3 linked regions of the Elephas maximus indicus genome follow. Each later gene encodes a partner of the first gene's protein in a complex. Links are inferred from orthologs where the notes say so. Each region holds a gene or a part of one and is shown on either strand. Other genes may lie near its edges.

Region 1 (7,462 bases):
TGAACCAATCAAGAAGATGGGGTCTCTTGGAGGCAAAGTTTCTACAGAAACTGAAACCATATCCCTGAAGCTCCATTGGTACATTTTTCACTCACATCTGAGCTTTCCTGGGGGTGGATCCAACTTTCTTCAACATCTGGAATATTGAAAAGGAGGAGAGAGAAGCCCTGGAGCCTTGTCAATCAAATTCCTTTCTCGTTTGGCAAATTCAGCCTCAGTGACAAATTGCACAATTTGACGTAAATGAAGTTGATAGATGTTGGCAAAGCTGTTTTTAAACAGCAGCAATGGAAAGATGTGTAGGATTTTTTTTTACTCAACAGTATGTTTAATAACAAATGAAATAACCAGATGTTTAAAAAACCCACCACCTTCACAATGTCATCTGATAGCCGGCTGCTGCTGATTAATGAGGGCGTGGGATTCGTTCCGGTCCCAGTTCAGAAAGTTGGCACTAAAATTCCCTTAAGGACTTCGTTGGGTAGCTCCTCATTATAATTCATGTAGGGTTGGTTCTAAGTTCACCTCTGAGGCTCTCTTGGGCTAGAGAGACTGTCCCAGATGTCAGAAGACTTGAATGTGTAGGCTCAGGTCTGCCACTACTTCTTGCCTGTGTGACCTTGGGTAAGTCACGGAACCCCCCTAGATCTTAGGTTTCCCATGGGATAAATGATGATAATAAGCCCTGCCCTGCCTACCCCAAGATTGTTGCCAGGCTCAAACAGAATAACAGGCATGAATCACTTTTTAAGTTTAAGTTTGTTAATATTTTTATCGAGAAATAATTTCACCCAGTAAAATGCACAAACCTTAAGTGTACAGCTAAATAAAACTTCACATATAAAATATATATATATATATATATGCACACACCTGTGTTGCCATCCAGATCAAGATACAGACTATTTCTGGCAACCCAGACAGTTCCCTTGAGCTCTTTCCCAGTCATACCTACTCCTGAGGAACAATTATCCTCACCTCTATCACCACAGATCAGCTATGCCTGCTCTTGAACTAGGTCCCTGAATAGCCAGACGCTTTGCGCTCAACTACTAACCGAAAGGTTGGTGATTTGAACTCACTCAGTGGTGCTGCAAAAGAAAGTCCTGGATATCTGCTTCTGTCAAGATTACAGCCCAGAAAACCCTATGGATCAGTCCTATCTGCAACACATGGGGTCACCACGAATTGGAGTCAACTCGACGGCGACTGGTTTAGTGTTCAAGAGAAAGCTTATTTGCCATTTCTGATAATGTCAAGTCGCCTTTTGTGCAGCTGAAATTAAACCCATCTGAAAGCATAGTTAGAAGCTTCCCTTTGAAGCTTCTCATGATTTTTAAAGGACATTGCTCATCACTCAGCCACTGACCACAAAGCTTTAGGTAATTTGTTGCCACCCACTAAGAACTTCACCTCTGGCAGCGCAGTCAAGATAGGGAGGCAATCAGTGGAGCTTGATTCTGTTACTTAAAAGAAATATTTCTTGCTTTCCTTCCCTGTGACACGTGCTGGGTATTGTGGGGGACTACCACAGTAGTTCAATGAGGTTCAAAACTACAGACAGTAGGGGGAGGGACAGTGATGTGAATTTTGAGTAGTAAAAAATGTAATATTCCACAGTAAAGGGGACGTTTTACATTATTTTTAACTTTTTATTGTAATATAATGAATAATATATACGTAGTAAAGTGCACAAAATCTTAAACGTGCAGCTTAGTGAATTTTAAAAAAAATTGGCACTTGGCTTCCAGATAAGAAATAACACATTAACAGACCTCGGATTCCTTCATTCTTCTTTCCAGTCTATAGCTCCTTCCTTCCCCCTTCAAAATAACCACTATTCTGACATCTGTCACCATAGATTAGTTTGGCCTGACTTGAACTTTATATAAATGGAGTTATACTTTTGTGTCTGGCTACTTTTGCTATGAGTTGGAATCGACTCCACGGCACTGGTTTTTTTTTTTTTTTTTACTTTTGCTTACCAGTATGTCCGTGAGGTTCCTTTAAGTTGCTTTTTGTGGATGTAGTTCATTCTTTTTCTTACTGCATTTGTTACATGACCACAGCATAATTTGCATGTCCGCTCTTCTGTTAAGGGACATTTAGGTTGTACTTTCAGCCTAGTACAAATTATGGTGCCATGAATGTTGTTATACATGACTTCCGGTGAGAATATGCACACATTTATGCTGGAGATAGACAGATATGTACATAGAATTGTTGTTTTGTAGAGTATGTACATGTAAAGGAGCCCTGGTGGTACAATGGTTAAGTGCTTGGGTGCAAACTGTAAGCTGCAGCGGTTTCAACCCATTGTGAGGCTCCATGGGAGAAAGACTCGGAGATCTGCTTCTGTAAAGATTACAGCCTAGAAAACCCTATGGGTCACTACGAGTAGAAAATTGACTCAGTGGCACCCCAAAACAACAGAGCATATATATTTAGCTTTAATAGATGGAGCCATTTTCCAAGGTGGGTGTACCCACTGACAAGCCCTCAGCAGTACCTGATGGTTTCTGTTGCTCCACGTGCCGCCTCCGTGACTGGTGTTGTCAATTTTAAAATGTAGCCATTTTCTCACCATCATTAGTTTTCAGGGAAATAAAAAATTTAAACTGCACTGAGATACCCTACACACCTATTAGGATGGCTCAAAAATAAAAACTCCAAAACAAACTAACAATATCAAGTGTTAGCGAAGATGTAGAGCAACTGGAGCTCACCTTGCTGGTGGGAATGCAAACTGGTGCAACCACTTTAGAAAATAATTTGACAGTTTTTAATAAAGTTAAACACATATTTACCACAAACATCAAAATAACCAAACCTGTTGCCGTCAAGTCAATTCCAACTCATAGTGACCCTATAGAACAGAGCAGAGCTGCCACATAGGGTTTCCAAGGAGCAGCTGGTGGATTTGAACTGCCAAACTTTTGGTTAGCAGCTGAACGCTTAATCAGGGCACCATATGACCCAGAAATTCCACTGCTAGATACTTATCTAAGAGACATGGAAATATACATTCGTACAAAAACTTGTACAAAAATGTTCATAGAAGCTTATTCATAATAGCCATAAACTGGAAATAACTCAGACATCTATCAATAAAAACAAAATAACCAAACCCATTGCCATCGAGTAGATTCCGACTCATAGATGAATGGATAAATAATACACGGTGTATCTATACAATGAATACTACTTGGTAATAAAAAGGAATTAGTGATACAGGTATCAACTGAGCTAAAGAAGCCAGACACAAAAGATATGGTATGATTCTATTTACATGAAATTCTAGAACAGGCAAAACTAATGATAGAAAGCAAATCAGTGGTTTCCCAGGTTTTTTTTGGGGGGGGGGTTGGAAATGAGATTGACTGCAAAGGGATCTGAGGAAATTTTTTAGGATGATGAAAATGTTTTATATCTTGGCGCAATGGCTACAAAGACACATTTGTTCAAATGAATCTAAGTGTGCTCTTAAAACAGGTGCATTTTATTGTAAATTACACTTCATGAAAAAATGTAATAGAGTTGGTTAAAGGGCAATAACAGATGAGAATAAGTGTGGCTGTGCCCATTCTATAGAGAGCACCTGTATAGCTATGTCAAAGGATGAGTACTTCCTCCTGTTGTGGCTGGACGGTGACATCTGAGCTGACCCTCTGCCTGATGGGCTCAAAAAAAAAAGGCTCAAAGCAGAGGAGAATTTCAGAAAGGCCTCTCCAGCCACGGGACGGATGGGTTGGAGCAACGAAAAGACTTAGACTTCCCATTGCATGAAGAAGAAATTGAACTTTTTTTGCCATGGTGGAAAGGACCTGCAAGTCTGGCCCAGCCTACTGTGAGTCTTACCCCATCTGCCTTCAGTCACCGTTTTCCAGCCATACACCCCTTTCTATTCCTCAAACGCCAAGCTTGTTCCCCCTCCGAGCCTTCACTCTTGTCCCTCTGCTTGAAATGCTGCAGCCAAGACTGTGCAAGGCTGACCCTTTGTCATCATTCATGCTTCGCCTCAAATGTCACCTCCTCAGAGAGGCCTTCCTTGGCCATCCAGGCACTCTCTCCGGTCGCTCTTCTTTCTTCATAGTCCTTCTGACAATGTTCAGTCATTTATTATTTATTTACTTATATTATGTTTCCCTCACCAGCCTGAGAGCTCCACTAGGGCAGGGGTTTTGTCTGTCGTGGTCGTCGCTGTGTCTCCAGCGCCTAGAATAGTCCCTGGTACTTGGATGGCGCTTAATAAGGGGCGAGAAATCCGCGCAGGCCAATTGTGGAATCGCGTTCTCCCAGCAGAGCGGATTCTAACCACGTGGGAGGGTAAGGGCGGTGGCCGCGGGTGTGTCGGGAGTGACAGCGCAGCCTCAGACCCCGCCCAAGGCCCCGCCCCATCCCCGCCCCCGGCCCCACCCATGTTCCTGTCCTTCTCCGCGGGTCTCCATAAAGTTCCTTCGGTGGCGCGCCTCGCAGGGGTTTCTGGGAGCGTCCAGCCTCGGCCAATCAGGAAGCGCAGGTGAGCGGCGCGAGAAGCGGCGGCCGCGCTCTCAAACCCGGACCTGAGCGGGGGAGACGGCTACGGCGCCAGGTAAGGTCGCTTCTGTGCACGTCCTTCCGACCTGGGGCTTGTCCTTGAACCCCGGATTTTGCGCCTGGGCGGAGCTCCGTCCCCACGCTCGGAGCTGTGCCGTTCACACTTCCCGTTCTCCTCGTGGCAGCCAGGCACGCCTGACGCTGGTGACATAACGCCCTGTCGAACCGCCCCCCATTATAGCGTAGGGTTGCGCCCCTGGAATGCCTTTTATTTGCCCTCTTCTTGAGTACAGAGCCTTAGCCTCCTGATCTCCCTCTCCCCCGTTATAGCAGTCGCCGCGGCGCACCACGCCCCCACCCCTTGCCCTACGGGCCCACCCTTGGCTGGATCGGCGCCCCCTTCCCACTGCAACATCCTTCCTGATTCCTCCACTGACCGAGCCCTGCCGGCTCGCTGGCTCCCCGGGGATACACCCTCTTGGGAAGCATTGCCTTCTGAAGGAAGGAGCCTTTGGGTAGGGGGGAGACCACCCTGTAAGCCTCTCCCATCCCTTGCCCTTCCTTCTGAACAGACGTTCAGGGGGATGTTTCTCCCCATTCGGGGAATTGCTTATGATTGGAATTCGGGGGTGATCCATCCTTTTTCTGGGCTTACAGCATCCCATCTTCTGCAGAGGCGATGCCTGAGTTTTACTGGATTCCTTTTAAAAAATTATGGGGCCGACGCCAGGGGTCTTTAGTCAAAGTTTGAAGGATACCTTGACAGAGCCGATTGGTTCGGATTTGCCCTTCAGCCAGGTGTAGGAAGGAGGTTTTGTTTTTTGTTTGTTTTGGCCAAGGTCTTTCCGCACAAGCAAGGGTCACCTTTTGTATTCTGTCTTCTAATACTGACCGCAGACCAGATTTGGGGGGAGAGGTTTTTCAGGCTTGTAGCTTTTCTTCTTTGTTTCTTTCCACCATTCTTCTTTGTGCTTTTGTGTTTGTGATGCTTTCATCTTTCACTCATGGTGAACTCATCCAGACTTATACCTTTAAATACCTATATATTAAGCTAACAGCTCGGATTTATACCTCCAGCCTGGGCCTCTCCCAGGCCTTTATCTAGCTGCCTGCTTGATGTCTACTGAAATGGATGATGGGGAGCTCAAACTGAATCTGCCAAAATGGCGCTCGAAAGCTCCCCTCCATCTCCCTCTCCAGATTGCTCCTCTTGCTCTTTTTATCTCAGTGAAATAAAAGCCAAGTGCATCCTTTAGCTGCTCTGGCCAATACCCTTAGAGTCATCTTTGATTGCTCTTCTGTCTCACTCTATGTCCAATGCCTGCCATCCTGGGCTAAGTCACTGCCACCTGTCACCTGGATTATTGGAATAGCCTCCCAACTGGTCTCCCTGCTTCTACCCTGGCCTCCATTTTCAGCACAGCGGCAAGAGGGATCCTTGTAAAGCAGGCCAGATCATATCACTTCTCTACTCAAAAAACCCTTGAATAGGTCCCCATTTCATTAATAATAAAACACAGACTCCTTACTGTGAGCCCTAAAGCTTTACACAGCCTGACCCACTGACAGTTTTCTGATCTCGTTTTCTTCTACCCTCCCCAACCCTTCCCTTACAGGAGTCAGACATGCTTTAGCCTCAGGGCCTTTGCACTTGCAGTTCAATATTCATGTGACTTGCTCACTTACTTCTTTTAGAACTTTACTGAAGGGTCGCCTAATGAGGCTTTTCCCACTTCCTGTCTTCCTTAACTGCTTTAGTTTTTCTTCTTAGGAGTTATATTTTACATATTTATTGTGTGTATTGTTTGTCTTCCCCCTCTAGAATGTGAGCTCCTGGAGGGAAGGGATTTTTATCTGTTTTTTTCCCTTACATATCCCAAGCACCTAGGCCTGGCACACAGTAGATGCTTAGTAAATATGGAAGAAATGACTGTGCTTGGCACTGTTATAGGCTTGGGGATACAGTGGTGAATGAGACAGACCTGCTGTCATTGAGCGGATGGTCCTAGAGAGGCCACTGACAAAAAAAACACAAATATAGAATGTGGTGTCGGGCATTTTATAAATGAGGACAGATTATTTGAATAGGGACCTGCCTGAAATGAGAGTGCAAGTCATAGGAATATCTAGGGCAAGAGCATTCCTGGCAGGGGGAACAGCAAAATCAAAGACCCTGAGGTGGGAACAAGTTGGGGATGTGAAGAACTTGAATATCTGAATCTGCGTCCTGATAGGCTGAGGCAGAAAATAAGGTAGAGGGAAAGAGAGATGTGCTGGGGGTGGGGGGGCAGGGTGTGTTCAGGAAACAGGTCACTTTTAATTCTGCAGACATTTATTTGGTGCCTGTTAGTTGCCAAGCTTATCAACTGCTGAGGATTTAGAGTTGAGCAGTCCATGGACCTTACCCTACAGGAATTCGCCACCCAGTGAGGGAGACAGAAGTAATCACAACTACTTCACTAGGGAGGAGCAGCGATAGAAAATGCAGAATAGTGTGGGAGGGGGCTGGGATGAGCGGGGCTGCCCCAGCTGGCTTTACAGGACACATAGCCTCCTTATGTGGACAGGGTGGGGATGGCACTGTGAGTGTGCACCTGGCATGGGGACAGAGGAAACAGCATGAGGAACTCCAAGAAATAGAGAGTTCCTGGAGTGTAGAGTTGGGGGAGGGCAATAATAGGTGAATATGATAAGGGTGGCAGTGTCTGTTCTATGGAGGGCACCCTGAATAGCTATGGCAGAGGGTGAGTACTTCCTCCTGTAGTGGATGGAAGGTATTTCCTGGGGAGTATTTCAGAAAACTCTCTCTGGCCATGGGGAGGATGAATTGGAGGAACGAGAAGACCTAGACTGTTGAGGTGATCCAGGAGAAGAGCGAGAGGATCAGTGTAGGGGCGAAAGAGATAAGGGTTGGCTTTGCAAAAGG
Region 2 (7,494 bases), on another chromosome or scaffold:
GCAAGCATAATGTAGAGACTGGTCCTATTTGCTTTTTGAGGTCAGGTATCATCACTTTTCGTTTTTGTATTCTCAGCAAATAACAAAGTCCTGAATGTCGGTGGTCAATAAATGTTCACTGACTTATTGATCCAGTAGTAACTTTTCATGGTACTTTTAATTTTGTTTTTGTTGAGAATATACACAGCAGAATGTAACACCAATTCAACAGTTTCCACTTATACCGTTTAGTGACATTGTTTACATTCTTTGAGTTGTGCAACTATTCTCACCTCCTTTTCTGAGTTGTTCTCCCCCCCGCCCGTTAACATAAATTCACTGCCCCCTAAGGTTCCTATGTAATCTTTCAATCATTAGAGTTGCTGTTGTCACTTTCATTCCATGTAAAAACCCAAACCCTTTGCCACTGAGTGGATTCTGACTTGACTTAGAGAGACTCAAAGGACAGAGTAGAACTGCCCCACAGGGTTTCCAAGGAATGGCTGGTGGTTTCAAACTACAGACCTCTCAGTTAGCAGCTGAGCTCTTAAACACCGTGCCACTAAAGGGTTCCTTTCATCCCATATAGCTAATCCTTAAAAGTGCATAATGCTTAAGGCAGACCTTTTTACTAGTTAAGCTAAACTATTGTTTGGTTTTGAGAAGACTTCAGGGGATACTTCTGGTTTAAGTTTTAAAGGCTATCTCAGGGCATTTATGGCACCTTTCATGAGAATGACAAAAATCCTTAGCATGCCTAAATAAGACGTCCTGAGTACCTGTCAGTTATGCAGCCTGTACAATGGTAGGACAATCAAGTTTTTCTAAATCCATTAATGCTTCTGTCTTACTCCTCTGTTCATCACTGGATTCAAACAGGGCACTAGCAATGAGGCCCAGCAACTTGAAGCTGTTGGCTAGCTTCATAAAATGCACAGAAAGAAATTAAAGCTACAGACCACAGAGTTATGCCCAATATAGATACTATCTTTACTCTCCAATTCTCATTTTTAACTACTCTTACCTGGAGATAAGGAAGGTAGAGTTGGAAGGATGGTTCTCAAAGGCTGGTGCTCTGGGTAACAGCATCAGCTTCACGTTAGACATGCAAGTATCTGGCCTCACCCCAGACCTACTGAGTCAGGAGCTCTGGGGATAGGGTGCAAGAAGAGGTAGTTAATAAGACCTCTAAGTAGTTCTGAAGTCCACTGAAGTTTCAGAACTATGAGCCTAGAGCAGCTTTTACTACACTAATATAAACTTGTCACATTTAGAATTTTTACTTCTCAATTTTAAGTCTTTTGTGGCTAGATCTAGGCTATCAAGCAGTTTTCATAAATAGACACACAACACACAAGTGGAATTTTTTTAATAACTTACATACGTATATTTATTGATATATATATGTGGAAACCCTGGTGGCATAGTGGTTAAGTGCTACAGCTGCTAACCAAAGGATCCTAACCAAAGGATCGGCAGTTCGAATCCGCCAGGCGCTCCTTGGAAACTCTGTGGGGCAGTTCTACTCTGTCCTGTAGGGTCGCTATAAGTCGGAATCGACTCGACGGCACTGGGTTTGGTTTTTTTAGATTATATATGTAATATATTTATATGTCTTTTAAAATATTAAAAACTTAAAATCCATACATATTCCCATAACTTTAATACAATAACTAAAACCTACTGCCATCGAGTCGATTCCGACTCATAGCGACCCTATAAAACAATACTACTTCTCAATTTTAATTTTCAATCTTTACCTATATGCATACTCATTGACGTAACTGTAGAAATATACAAATTTTGGTTCACCTATAGCCTTATAAAATTATTTGGTAAATATGCTAAAGACAGCTTTTTTTTCCTGATTACAAGAGTAATAATAATAATTCCTGCCAATCCTGTTTTCTACTTAAATATCTGTTAAAAAAAACCCCAAACTCGTTGCCATTGAGTCGATTGCAACTCATAGCAACCTTTCATTTTTCATAAAATTGAGAATTTTTTAAGAAAATTTTACCAAATGTCATCTTCATAGAATTTTACATTTTATCACTATATTGTTAGCATTTCCTACATCACTGAATATTCATATAAAATTATTTTTTTGAAGGTGGAGCATCTATTTATTTTTTAATACAGAAAATACAGGCGTATTTAAAAAGGGAAACATGCAAAAAAGTCACAAAGAGTAACAAAGTATATCACAAAACAAGAAAGTAAACTGAAAATAACAAGTGTACTAAATAAAACAGAGCCCAGCACAATGTTGGGCTTTCTTCCTGTGAGTTCCAGGATGCCCAGGCACTACCAGGTAGAGATGATCCCGCTTTTGCAAGAGCCGGTTGGTTGTGCAATGGTTAAAACCCAGTCCTCCTTTTCCTGAACAGTCACACCCTGTCCAAGCTGAGAGGCAATGAGACCGGTTTGGTCTTATGCATAAAACTGCCTTTTAATGACTGCATAATATTCCATCATAAGCCTTAGCTAAGAGTGAGACATGCGGGTTATGCCCCTTTTTTAGTGTGATTATTGAAACTGTCCTTCTTGATTTTTCCCTGGAAGTAGAATTATGGGGACAAAATGATGAACATTTTAAAGCTTCTTGACTTTTCTGTGTCTCGTCCAGTCTTTACAGTTCTTTTAAATAGGTTAATATTTCATCTGATACTGTTTACTTAGCTGTTCCTCTATTCCTCTTTGGTTGAACCACACCAGTGGTTCTCAACAGGTACTATTTTGCCCCCTAGAGGACATTTGGGACTGTCTGGAGACAGTTTTAGTTGTCACAATTGGTGAGGAGTGCTACTGGTATCTAGTAGGTTGAGGCTAGGGATGCTGCTAAACATCCTACAATGAAGGCAGGACTAATTGCTAGAAAAAAAGCATCATGTTTGGTAAAGGAGAGGGTCAGCAACAACTAGAGAAACCCTCAGTGAGATGGATTGACCCACTAGCCACAGGAACAGTCAAACAGACATCACGGAGATGGTGCAGGCCCAGGCAATGTTTCATTCTGTCACATAAGGTCTCCATGAGGTGCAGCTGATTAAAGAGCAACCAACAACAATAGCTCTATTGACTGCAGTTTTCTTTTAACTAATGAGTGTACTTGAATGGTTGTGTAAAGTGGCTATTTTGAATAGCCAAAGCAGATATGGTAACCAGTTTCAAAAACTTCCATTTATCTGCTACTGAACGCTTATTTTACTTTTGGAAAATGTAAGCCTCTTTTTATCCCTTAGAAAATGGGCCACACCGTTGGTATTAGGCACTCAGATCAGTGAAGCTGTGGTACATCTGCAAAATGCAGCGAGACGTGGATGGGGGAATTGTTGAGTTTTATCCGAACTGCCAAATTTCATTCTACAAGTGGCTGACTTTTGTGAATGGGACTTGGATTTAATTGTACTAGCCCACAGGAGAAAACTAACACTTCTCACCATTCCAGAACAGCTTATTGTCACTAATTCATGTAGATGATTCCAATAGTTTTCAGGGAAAGAAGCACTGATCCCATTGATAGATTTATTTTCAGATCAACTTCCCTCCTAAATAAAAAAAAGCTGTTACATTTTCAGGGAGTGTATTTTTTAAGACTTACTTTTAAATTTCGAATTATCTTCAGTTCGTTCAAAAAGTTGCTTGCATAGGAAATTGAGAACAGATGGCGCAGGACCGGACAGTGTTTCGTTCTGTTGTACATAGGGTCGACGGCACCTAACAACAACACTATTCTCTTACTTGATGTGTTATATGGCAGTAAAAATAAATAACTTCACACCTTGAAGTTACTTAACACTTTTCAGTTTTCCGTAACAAGGCCACGCAGTCTCTGATTTGCGTGTCTCCGCTGTGCATTCATTTTGCTCTGCTTTTCCTTGGAGAGATAACAAACCCAGTATTTGTGTTAAGCCACCCCAGCTGTCTCACTTCACAGTTGCACCAATTTGTCCGCGTGCTTCTAGTGTGCTGTAGCGTGGGAGTGGGGGCCACTGCCTTGGCACACAAGCCCGCCAGAGCGGCGGGACTAGGGGAAGGGGCCCCATTACTCTGGACACCAATGGGAGAAGCGATGATGCTAATGTGGAGACCGGGAGAGAGAGACAAAAGCCAGCTGGGAGAGGTCGTAGGCACGGCACAGAGGCCGGGTTCCAGCGCCCAGGCAGCCGCGCTGCTTCACGCACGCACGGCCCCACCACCTCCGCCGGGCGGCCCTCCTGTTGCTCCCGCCCCCTCGGGGGCCTTCTTCCTGCCCGGCGCGGGCTGTCCGTGGCGGCGCCTGACCCGGCGGCAGGGTTACTAGGAGGATAGGCTGCACCTGGCGCTTTTCCCCTTAACTGCTGTCGAGGCCAGGAAGGAGGGAATACGTTAGACAGCCGCAGGGGTGGTTATGGCTGAGAGGAGAGGCTCCTGCAACGTCGGGGAGCTGAGCCTGACCGGCACTGCTGGAGGCGCCCTGACGGGGTCCTCTCTCTCAGCCGGGTTCCGAGCGGGAGGCCGGAGCTGGAAGCATTGGCGGCTTGTCCAGTTCCAGGGTGCTGAGACGCGGCGCGATGGAGGAGGTCGATGGAGAGCCGATAATCACTGTAAGGGCGCCCGGAACAGGCTTGCTTGCCCTCACGATCCGAGGGCTGCGTCTGCTCCGTCGCTGCAGGCTTGTCCACCGCCTTGCGGCTCGGGAGGCGCCCGTATCCCTTTCCTCGGCTCAGTTGCCGCCGTCGAGAGATCGCGGCTTGAACTAGGTGCCCGTGTTCGGGTCGCAGTGGTCGCTGGGTTTCTGCTTCTTTGTTCCCTCAGAAACCTGTCCCCGGAGGCCCCATTCCATCCCTCTTCCGCCCTTGTCTTCCCAACCTTCCTACTTTGCTCCGCTTTTCCTCCTGGGTGTTAGAGCGAGTCCGGACCCAGCGTGGGTGGGGCTTTTTTTTTCCAACCGAATTAAGCTGCTCCACATCTCAGCGCCCTGAGATTGGCGTCTGCTAGTCGTGCAGTAAGGGTCCTTGGTGGCGCAGTGGTTAAAGCTCTCGGCTGCAAGCCAAAAGGTCGGCACTTCGAACCCACCAGCCACTCCGCGGGAGGAAGATGTAGCAATCGGCTCTCGTAAAGATTTACAGCTTTGAAAACCCTATGGAGTGTTTCTCTGTCCTATAGGGTCGCTACGAGTCGGAATCCAATCGATGGCAGTGGGTTTTAGTCGCCAGGTTTATTAAACGTATTTATTCTCTTGGGATCACTCCTGTTTTCACTGCTCTGTTTGCGTTCAATTCAGTCTGCACTCTCAGGAGGATATGTCAAGTATAAACGATCTGTGATTTTATGAAGAGATACATGGGCTTTGGATACTAGATACCTTTAGATATTTCCTTCCGCTGCCCGGAATGTTTTTTTCTTCCCTCTTTGCTTTATCTGCCGCTCATTTTTCAAATCTAAGCTCCGTCAGCCTCTCAGAAAAGCTTTTCCTGACCCCCTGACGAGTCAGTTTGTCTTTATGCCCTAGGCTTTCAGAGTTCTGCACCTCTTGGGTCTTAGCAGCCTCTAATAAAACCAAAAACCAAACCCGTCGCCGTGGAGTTGATTCTCACTCATGGCGACCCTAGGTGTTACAGAGTAGAACTGAGCCCTATAGAGTTTTCTTGGACGTAATTTTACGGAAGCAGATTGCCAGGCCTTTCTTCCACAGAGCTGCGGGTGGGTTTGAACTGCCAACCTTTAGGCTAGTAGTGAAAGTGCTACCCAGGGACCTACCTTGTCAACGTCTATACACCACTAACTTTGTAAGTTACCTGACCGAGTGTTTTTTGCTTTTTAGAAGGTTAAAATGCGTACAGTTTTCACCTAAAACTACCTGATTGCAAAGCAGTCTATGATAAAACCAAATACTGAAAATGGGGATTATTTCAAAGCTAATGAGGTAGAAATGGGATATGAGATCTTAAATAGCAGCTGAAATGAGTTATTTTCTACGAAGTTTATTAGTTCTATAGAGTGTTAATTATTAAGTACATGTAAAGTACCCTAAATATTAAATATCCATCAAGTACTATGTCATTGTTTGTCAGTGGTGTATTCAGGAAGAAAACTTAGAATGTCAGAATCCCTGGGACTTCTTCAAACTTCACGTCATCTTGCTGTCCCCACCTCCATTACTCTGATATTGAGCCATGTGTTTACAAAGGGGATGAAGGTGCTCTAAGCTAATTTTCCCTCCGGTGGTGATAATTAGTCCCTGAGTGGTGAAAACAGTTTACAGGCAGGCTGCTAACCAAAAGGTTGAAGGTCTGCCCAGAGAGTCCTCAGAGGAAAGGCCTGGTGATCCACTTCCAAAAAATCAGCCACTAACGCCTTACAGGGCACAGTTCTCTGCACATAGGGTTGCCATGGATTGGAATCAACTTGGCAGCTATTGGCTTTGGTTTGGTGATGATTGGCCTGTGATAACCCAGCTCTGCACTGATGTGGAGACCAGGTAGGAAATTGGTTAGCTTTGTGGGCTGAGCCTCGTAGACAGTCACAATCCTTGGTAGAACTCCATAATCCAGAGTCTGAGCCTCAACTCTGCAAGTTTAGACTTTTGTCTGTGCTTCAGAGTTAATCTGCTCTTTGGGTTTATTCTAATCAGACTTTCGAGAGGCTGATGTATTATCCTGAACACCATTTTATGAATTCACCCCTTCTCAGAATTGTGTCTGCTGTTAAGACAACTGCTTTCTGTTATCAAGGTACTTGAAGGCATATTAGTAATTAGTAGGTTCAAGGATATTTAAGCATAAATTCAAGGTAGTAGAACAAACCAAACCCATTGCCATTGAGTCAATTCTGACTCATAGAGACCCATAGGGTTTCGAATTGTTGACCTTTTTTGGTTAGCAGCCTGAGGTCTTAACCACTGTGCTACCAGGGTCCCAGTAGTAGAATAATTGTGAGTGATTCATCTAGACCAAAGGTCTTCAATCCCTTTTTTTTTTTTTTGATCAAGCACTCCTTAAGAAATACAAGTTATAGTCACCTTCCCCAGGAAAATGCCTGTATGCATATATTTTGAGGTGTTTTGAGGACCCATTGAAGCCAAGACACTTGGAAAATTCCCTCACACCCTTTGCCTAAGTCAGTTTCTACCCTGACCACTTTCTGACTCTTGTCACCATAGATTAGTTTGCCTGTTCTTGAACTCCAACATGTACTTTTTTGTGTCTTCCGGCACGCTGTGGCCTTTTTAAGTGTGAGATGCCGCTTAGGCAGCCTATAGTGGTAGGGATTAGGAGTTGGATGGATGAAACTGAGGCCCTTGGGAATTGGCCTGAGTCAAAGAGGAAATGCAGAGCCAACATCGTAGAGGTGGCACAGAAGCCTTGGGATTGGATGTCTTTATTTTTTTCAGTGTGCAGCAAACAGGGTTCGATTCTTTTTTTAACTTCCCTTTTCTGAACTACAGATCACTGAATCCCAGTATAATAATTAATTCAAATATAGCTTTTTTTTTTTTTTTTGTCAGCAATTGAGAGATGGCAGGCTGGG
Region 3 (7,198 bases), on another chromosome or scaffold:
AATGGATTTCTGTCTTTGCAACTTTAAGCAAGATGACATTTTAAAGATGAGAAGGTGAAAAGAAAAAAATGCTAGCCTTTAAGTATTTCCCAGCAGAGCTAAACCAGAAGTCAAAACAGGAAATTACAAGTCAATTTAACACATGCAAGAGTCTCAGGTACTGTCTGACTACACTAGCTAATTGGCCTGACAAGCAATGGCAAACAGCCATTAACTAACAGTGCCAGGCCTCTCATTCTGGTTCCAACACTCTACTACATAATGAAAAACTTCATTCCTGCTCAGAAACCCTGGGTCACTTAAATAACATTAGTACAAAACATGCCATGTCATGAAGCGCCTCGATATTCATGATGACTCAGCAACTGCTGCAAAACATCCAATTTGACAGCTTAGGGTAGAATACAGCAAGCAGGTAGTTCACAAAAGTTTCAGTAAAGACTAAGGAAAAGCCCTTAATATAAGATTAAAAAACAGATAAACCAGAAAGCACTCTTCTGTATATACCTGAATACTTTTCTTTGGTAGTTCCTGCCAGTATTAAATAAAACATGTAGTGTTGATCAAGAAATCTCAAAACATCTTTAATCCCAATTCAAAAGCTAAAAATACATATATATTTTTTAAATAAATCAAGCAGCTGGGGCAAGAAGCTTAAAGTATTTTAGATAGGGAGCAATGATAATTTACGAAAATTTAAAACTTAAAAACTATACAGCCTGAAATCGTATCAATTCTAGGGCAGTTTAGATCACAGGCATTCTGTTAAGACATTATTTCCTCAAAATTAGATTCTTATCTAAGTAAATTTAAAAATAAACTGTGATTACAACTTTCGCTGCCTGGAATATATTAACTCCCTTCTAAACTCTGTCCAAACTTTTTATTCATCTGTATTGAAAACGTTTTTCTATGTGTAGTAATTTTCTTTTAAGCAAATCGTAGAAAGCACTGAGATATTCTATAGGAGAAACAGAAAGCATGTATGTCTTTCATTCTACAAAAGAGGCTTAAGTTAAATGGTCAAGGCTTGTGACCTGAATTCTAGCATTAAATCTGCCTACAAGTACCTGTTCCTCACAAAGCCATGTGAAAACGAGGCACTTTCTGTACATATCCGTGGAAAAACTAGCAGGAGATAATAGTAATGCCAAGCCTTCTGACTATTAGAGACCTACTTGGTATAATACATAATCCACAATTTTTACTTTCAAAAGTTCTCCTCAAATCTGTACTTAATGATACAATTTAACACCACCAACAAACATGTTAAAGTGTTCATTATTATCATGCAAAATAAAGCAATCTAGGAAGTCTACCTGACTGTATGCAACAAGTTATTACACCCTTTTGCTATACTTTTGTTTCTAACAAGTTTAAGACACACACTTCCCACCTTAGTGTCAATCAGTTTTATAAGTGGCTTTATTAAAATAGGTATTTGGTATTTTCTGCTCTACCATCCGCCAACACACAAATAACATTTAAAAATGGAATTTTCTCAGAAACGAATGTCTCATTTATACTTAGGCTAAACTCCTTATAATTTTTAACACCCAGGAGTGTACACGGTGATTAAATTATAAGACCACAAACATTCCTAGAGCGTCAAAAGTCCTTAAACTTTTAGAACACGCCCCATAATATTAAAATATTTTGTGTATGAGATCAGAAATGGAATCCTGGTCAACTGTGGAGAATGGCCAATTCTAGTTTCCAAAGTAAAAGGAGGAAGAAAAAAAAAAGAGACAGGTGGGGAGGGAAGAGCCGCGCAGCGCAGAAAATACGTAAGGGTGGAGAGGGACTTTCAAAATGCCCCAGTGCCACGGTTAACTATATCCCGGTTAAGAAAAAAAAGTTGAGCGAATGCTCTCAGATTGAGGACGGACAAGGGCGGCGGAGACGGAGAATTAATCAATCGGCTGAGAGTATATTATTCCATTTTCCGTGTAACAGCGCCCCCCAGTCTCCCGTGAGTCCAAGAAGCCGATTCCTCGGAGCAGCCCCCTCCCCACACACTGAACCGCGGGAGACTAGAAAACGCACAGCCCGCGTAATGGGCTCCGGCCGCATCTTTTCCTTTCTCCCTCGAGAGGCTGTGAGTAATACCTCCAAATCCCCAATCCCCGCCAAAAAAAAGAAAGAAACGCGCGCACCGTGGGCCTAGAATTTCTTTTCCCGCCCTGAGCCTGCCGGGGAAGCCCCTGACCCAGAGACTATGCGAGAGGCGGCCCAAGCCACACATGTGCGCCGCACGGCTGGGCCTGTCTCAGCCCACTTCCCGTCGCCACCCCAGCGGCCTGAGCTCCCGCCGCCTCAATCGGGCCTTCCTCCGGCCCTCCCATCCGATCCACGTGCGGCGGGTGTGGGGAGCCAGAGCCCCGCACTGCCTGACCCCTCTCGCCCAGCCCCCGACCCGTTAGGCCACCGCGGCGTCGGGGTTCCGTACCTGGTGCTGTTGTCGCCCCTGCGCGTAAGGCTTAATTGGCCCCTGGTGACAACGCCGCGTCCGGATCTTGCCACCGCCGCCGCCGCCCCCTCCTATTCCTCCGGCTCCCGAGGCCATGGTGGAGCCTCCGCTGCTTCCCGCTCCGCGGCGGGTAAGGGGGGCGGGAGAGGCAGAGGCGACGGCCTTAGAGCCCCCCCCGCCCGGTCCCGGCCCAAAAGTCCGCCCGCGCTACCCACACGGTGGGACACAGGCACACCAGGGACCTCGAGGTTGCGAGCAGGAGGGGAGAGAGGGTGCGCGCTGGCAGAGGGGGAGGGGGTGGCGGCGGCGGAGGCCGAGGAGCTGGCTCCGGTCCGGCAGCCTTCCGCGGTCCCCCGCCTCTGTGTATGTCACGGTCTCTATGGAGATCTTCCGCAGAGGACAGTGCGAGCGGCTCCGGGCGCTGCTGAGGCCTAACTCGACCGCCGGCTGGTAGGGGATCTTCTTCCGTCGCTCTAGCCGTCGCTGCCGCAGCTGAAGCCGCCGGCGCCGCCCGCCTACCCCTCCCCTCTGCGCACAGCGCCCGCCCTGCCGTCGTCGTCCCTGCAGTCGCCGCCGCTGTTGCGCCTATTGCCGCTGCTAAGGCCGCCGCGGTCGCGAGCCAGGACACCGTCACTCGTTAGCGCCCGACGCCTATGCATCATCTCGCTGCGACCTGCGAGGGGAGGAGGAAGGAAGAGCTCTACGAGCCCGCGCTCTCGGCCGCGCGGTGCGCTGGGTAACGTAGTTCAGGAGGAGCACGTGAGTTCTGGCAAAGGAAGGCGCGGGGTGGTGGATCCGCCGAGCGCCGCAGAGGCACTGAGCGGGCGGTTACGTTCGTTTTCCTGCCCTTAGCTTTAGGCTTAGGCTCTGAAGAACCATTTAACATAAAAACAGTAAGCTCCCAACCACTCTACTTCTCCCTATCTAGCAGAAAGTAAGCAGAGGGTGAAATCAGCGACAGGAGCTAAGTGATATCTTTTAACAACAACAAAAACTCTGTGGTTGAAAAAGCAATGTCCAAAATCATTCGTAGGCCGAAAGCACAATTAGAAAATGTATACAGCTTCATTAAGGTCCTATTAGACATATACACAAGGGCTAGAATTCTGGCTCCCCCACTCAAAATCTCTGAACCTTGGCGTCCTCCTCCAGAAAATAACTTTTAAGTTCACCTTATAGAGCTGGTGCCTACAAGAAATGCAATAAATGGTGGCTATTATGATTACCTACGCAGCTCACAATAGAAGTAAAATGTATATTTTCAGTAATACAAGTGTGCATATGTATGTTCCAAATAAAAGGCATCGTGTTCAGGGAGGTAAGTGAGCATAGGCTCAAGATTGAATCCATACGTATGTAGAGATTCTAAGCGCTGACGGTTAGACAGGTCTTGATGATCACGTGGACCGCCCCTCTCAACGGACACCAAAGACTTCCTAGACAATTTGGGTGGTGCGTTCAAGGACACAGAGCTGGGCAGTCAAACCCAGAACTGTAACACAACTTTTGTATAAGAGTCAAGATGAGTAGTCAGATGATTAAAGAGAAAACTCTACTATTGTTCCATTTTGAGACAGTTGATTTTAAAGCTTTTAAGTAGCTTTGGAGTCAAATAGACTTAGTTTCAAATCTATCATTTACTAGCTGTATAGTCCAGAGGAAGCTATTGATCTTCTCTGTAAGCCTCAGTTTCTTTATCTGTAAATAGAATGAATTTTTATTTCAACAGGATGGTGGTTCTGGTGAAAGGGCTTATGTATTTATGTGCTGTATAATACCTAGTTTATAAAAACTACTGTGTAGAAAGCATTTAATATCAGTCAAGCTGTCAGGTACAAATCTTTAGCGCCAAGATTTTTATACAGTCTCCACCACCTAGCTGCTCAATTCAAAAGTCACTATATAAATCACATAAGTGAAATTGTGAAACCAAATTTATAGTACCTTTGAACTTGTAGTATGTTTCAGCACCTAAAAGAACTATGCTGTATAGGCATAGGCTTACAAAGCATATGGTTTTCAGAGGCATCTCTGACCAGAAGCACCAACACTCAAGAAGTTGCCAAATATGAAAAACAAAATTAATTTGTTTCCCTGCCCCAGCCTCGTGCCTTCACCATACCTAACTCCTCACTAGACTTTCTAGGTATACCTGCTCAGCACTTTACCCTTCTTAAGTACAATTGTTTCTCTTGGATGCTTTCCCCTCTTCAACTGAAGCCTGGTTCTTTTGTAAGCCTTAGCTAGGTATTTGACAAGCGGGGTGAAGTAATTCTGGATAAGCTAACTCACATGGAGAACCTCTACCTGAATTTCCTAACTGGGCTACATATATAGGAGATTGAACTGTAGCCACATCCCATTTTTCCTTTTCATCTACCAGACTCAAAATTTCCAGTACAAGACTATGGACTGGCTAGAGCTCAAAAATGATGTCTTTCTTGGAGGCGTGGGTCAGCCCTCACATTCAAGTTTTGAAAGCAAGGGCTGTGCAGAAGAATTGGGCCAAACTTCAGAATCAAAGATTGGTGGGATTTGAGAAGCTGTGGAAAAATACAAATTCCTTTCAGTTGTTTAACTCATTAACTCACAGAATTCATTTAACTCATTTCACATTTACTTTATTCCTTTGATGTAAAACAACATCCAAGGAAACAATAATACACTAGTTCCACATTTGTGTGACTGCATTTTTGGAAGCTTTACCAGGCAGTTTGAGAGCAGAGACAGAATAAAGGACAGGAGGGAAGCTGTGTTCAAAACTTCCCACTGCTCAGTTTTACCCTGACATAGTATCAGCCTCATTATGGGATGAGATGACTTCTTATTGCATGGTTTGGGATGTTAAAATAACATTATTTCTGTGCTGAGATATAGTGTAGAGTTCCAAATCACCATCTCACACATTTTTGGAACTCATTCTTCTGTTAGCAATTACGAGTAGTAGAATGAGTTATAATAAATTATTTTGATTGTAAAGCTTTAAGGAAAATTATAACAAAAGATCTGCCTGCATCCAAACAAACAAATAAATATTGAGCATTGCTCTAAAAGATACTATATATAAATCGGAAAAAAAGGTCAAATGGCATATAACAATAATAGGGGTTCTTGAAATCCTTCCAGCCATGTTGGAAATTAACAAGCGTTTGAGGAAGGAAATAAGTATTATTTAGTGCTTATAATTAAGCACTTTACATAGATAATAGGATTTAATTTCCTCAAAAACCTATGAGATATTACTATTTGTATTTCACAGAATCAGAAGCTACCATTTATAAATTTTGTGTTATGAACTAGCTGTCTCTTTCTTCATCCATTTCTTTCTATTAGTAACTTCTATTCCTGTCAGTCTTTAACCAGTAACCAAACCAACCCATTGCTGTTGAGGCGATTCCGACTCATAGCAACTCTATAGGACAGAGTTGAACTGCCCCATAGGGTTTCCAGGGAGTGGCTGGTGGATTTGAACTGCTGACCTTTTGATTAGCAGCTGTGCTCTTAACCACTACACCACCAGGGCTCCCAACCAGTAACCAACTGCCTTCAAATCAGTCACCACTCCTGGTGACCCCATACGCGTCAGAGTGCACTGGGCTTCATAGGGTTTTCAATGGCTAATTTTTCAGAAGTAGATCACCAGGGCTTTCTTCCCAGGTACCTCTGGGTGGACTCAAAGCCCCTACCTTTTGGTAAGCAGCCAAGTGAATTAACCATTTATACCACCAAGGGACTCCTTATCAGTCTTTAGGCCAAGTCAAAATTGGGATGGCTTTAGTAAGTGATCTTGTGTTTTGGGTTCTTTCATTGAGTAACTTTTAATAGAAACTTGCCCCCCCCACCCCACACACACACACACACACATACACACTAAATTTTAAGCTCCAAAAGGATAAGGAATTTTTTCCCAGTGTTATAACCTCAGCACATGGATCAGTGCTGACACATGGCGGTCTCTATAGATACTACAGTTCATTTTCCCAATATACCATTATTACCAATACAGCTAAACTCATTTATATAACCGGATCTAACCTGACCTGAATGTATTTGCTACATAAGAAATTAATTTTTTGCAATTCATGATAAAGCATGAATACCATGAATAAGTCCCTATGAAAGTGTTATATAAAGATTTTCATGTTATCCTAACAATCCTGAGAAGAATCATTATCCTCATTTTACAGAAAAGGAAACTGAGTCACTGAGGGGATAATAATAAATTGCAGCACTAATGAGTGGCAGAGTCAACGTTTAAAATGATTTCTCCACTCCTTACCCCAAAGCTCATCGCTTACCTTTACCATCATTCTACCACTTTTGTAGCTAGTTTAGGAACCCACCTACCATTTACAATATTTTTTATTTGAGAATATATTATTTCCAATTCAATTAAGAACAAAATGTTTTAGGAAGATCTCTCTCTGATGGCCTCCACACGGACTGGAATGTTTCGAGTCTGGTCCTACTGTATTGCAGAGCAAGAATAGACATTTGCTTAATGTGATGTGATAACCATGGAAAGACCAGACTCAGATAACTCAGTCAGGGTCACCTGAGAAGCAGGAAATCCCATCTTGGCACAAAGATAAGAGGATATTTTGTGGGATGGAAATGAAGAGTACACCACCAGGGCCATTTTGGTGTAAGAAATGTTGTAACCTATGAATGTCAGAGAGAAGCCATGTTAACAAAACCAATAAAATTCAACTATAGCATAGAGACAAA

Evidence for each region.
Region 2: NUP93 (region 1) and NUP85 share a complex: the UniProt entries of both Homo sapiens proteins name them as parts of the nuclear pore complex. The link is inferred for Elephas maximus indicus from reciprocal best matches to the Homo sapiens genes NUP93 and NUP85.
Region 3: NUP93 (region 1) and NUP153 share a complex: the UniProt entries of both Homo sapiens proteins name them as parts of the nuclear pore complex. The link is inferred for Elephas maximus indicus from reciprocal best matches to the Homo sapiens genes NUP93 and NUP153.

The regions. Positions count from the first base shown.
Region 1 is NC_064839.1:23,667,318-23,674,779, forward strand, and holds the start of NUP93 (nuclear pore complex protein Nup93), read left to right. Parts: upstream 1-4,450; 5' UTR 4,451-4,591; intron 4,592-7,462. UniProt on the Homo sapiens protein: Plays a role in the nuclear pore complex (NPC) assembly and/or maintenance. May anchor nucleoporins, but not NUP153 and TPR, to the NPC. During renal development, regulates podocyte migration and proliferation through SMAD4 signaling.
Region 2 is NC_064837.1:65,551,752-65,559,245, forward strand, and holds the start of NUP85 (nuclear pore complex protein Nup85), read left to right. Parts: upstream 1-4,397; 5' UTR 4,398-4,535; coding exon 4,536-4,568; intron 4,569-4,577; exon of another isoform or gene 4,578-6,445; intron 6,446-7,494. UniProt on the Homo sapiens protein: Essential component of the nuclear pore complex (NPC) that seems to be required for NPC assembly and maintenance. As part of the NPC Nup107-160 subcomplex plays a role in RNA export and in tethering NUP96/Nup98 and NUP153 to the nucleus.
Region 3 is NC_064819.1:63,113,987-63,121,184, forward strand, and holds the start of NUP153 (nuclear pore complex protein Nup153), read right to left. Parts: upstream 3,098-7,198; 5' UTR 2,567-3,097; coding exon 2,450-2,566; intron 1-2,449. UniProt on the Homo sapiens protein: Component of the nuclear pore complex (NPC), a complex required for the trafficking across the nuclear envelope. Functions as a scaffolding element in the nuclear phase of the NPC essential for normal nucleocytoplasmic transport of proteins and mRNAs.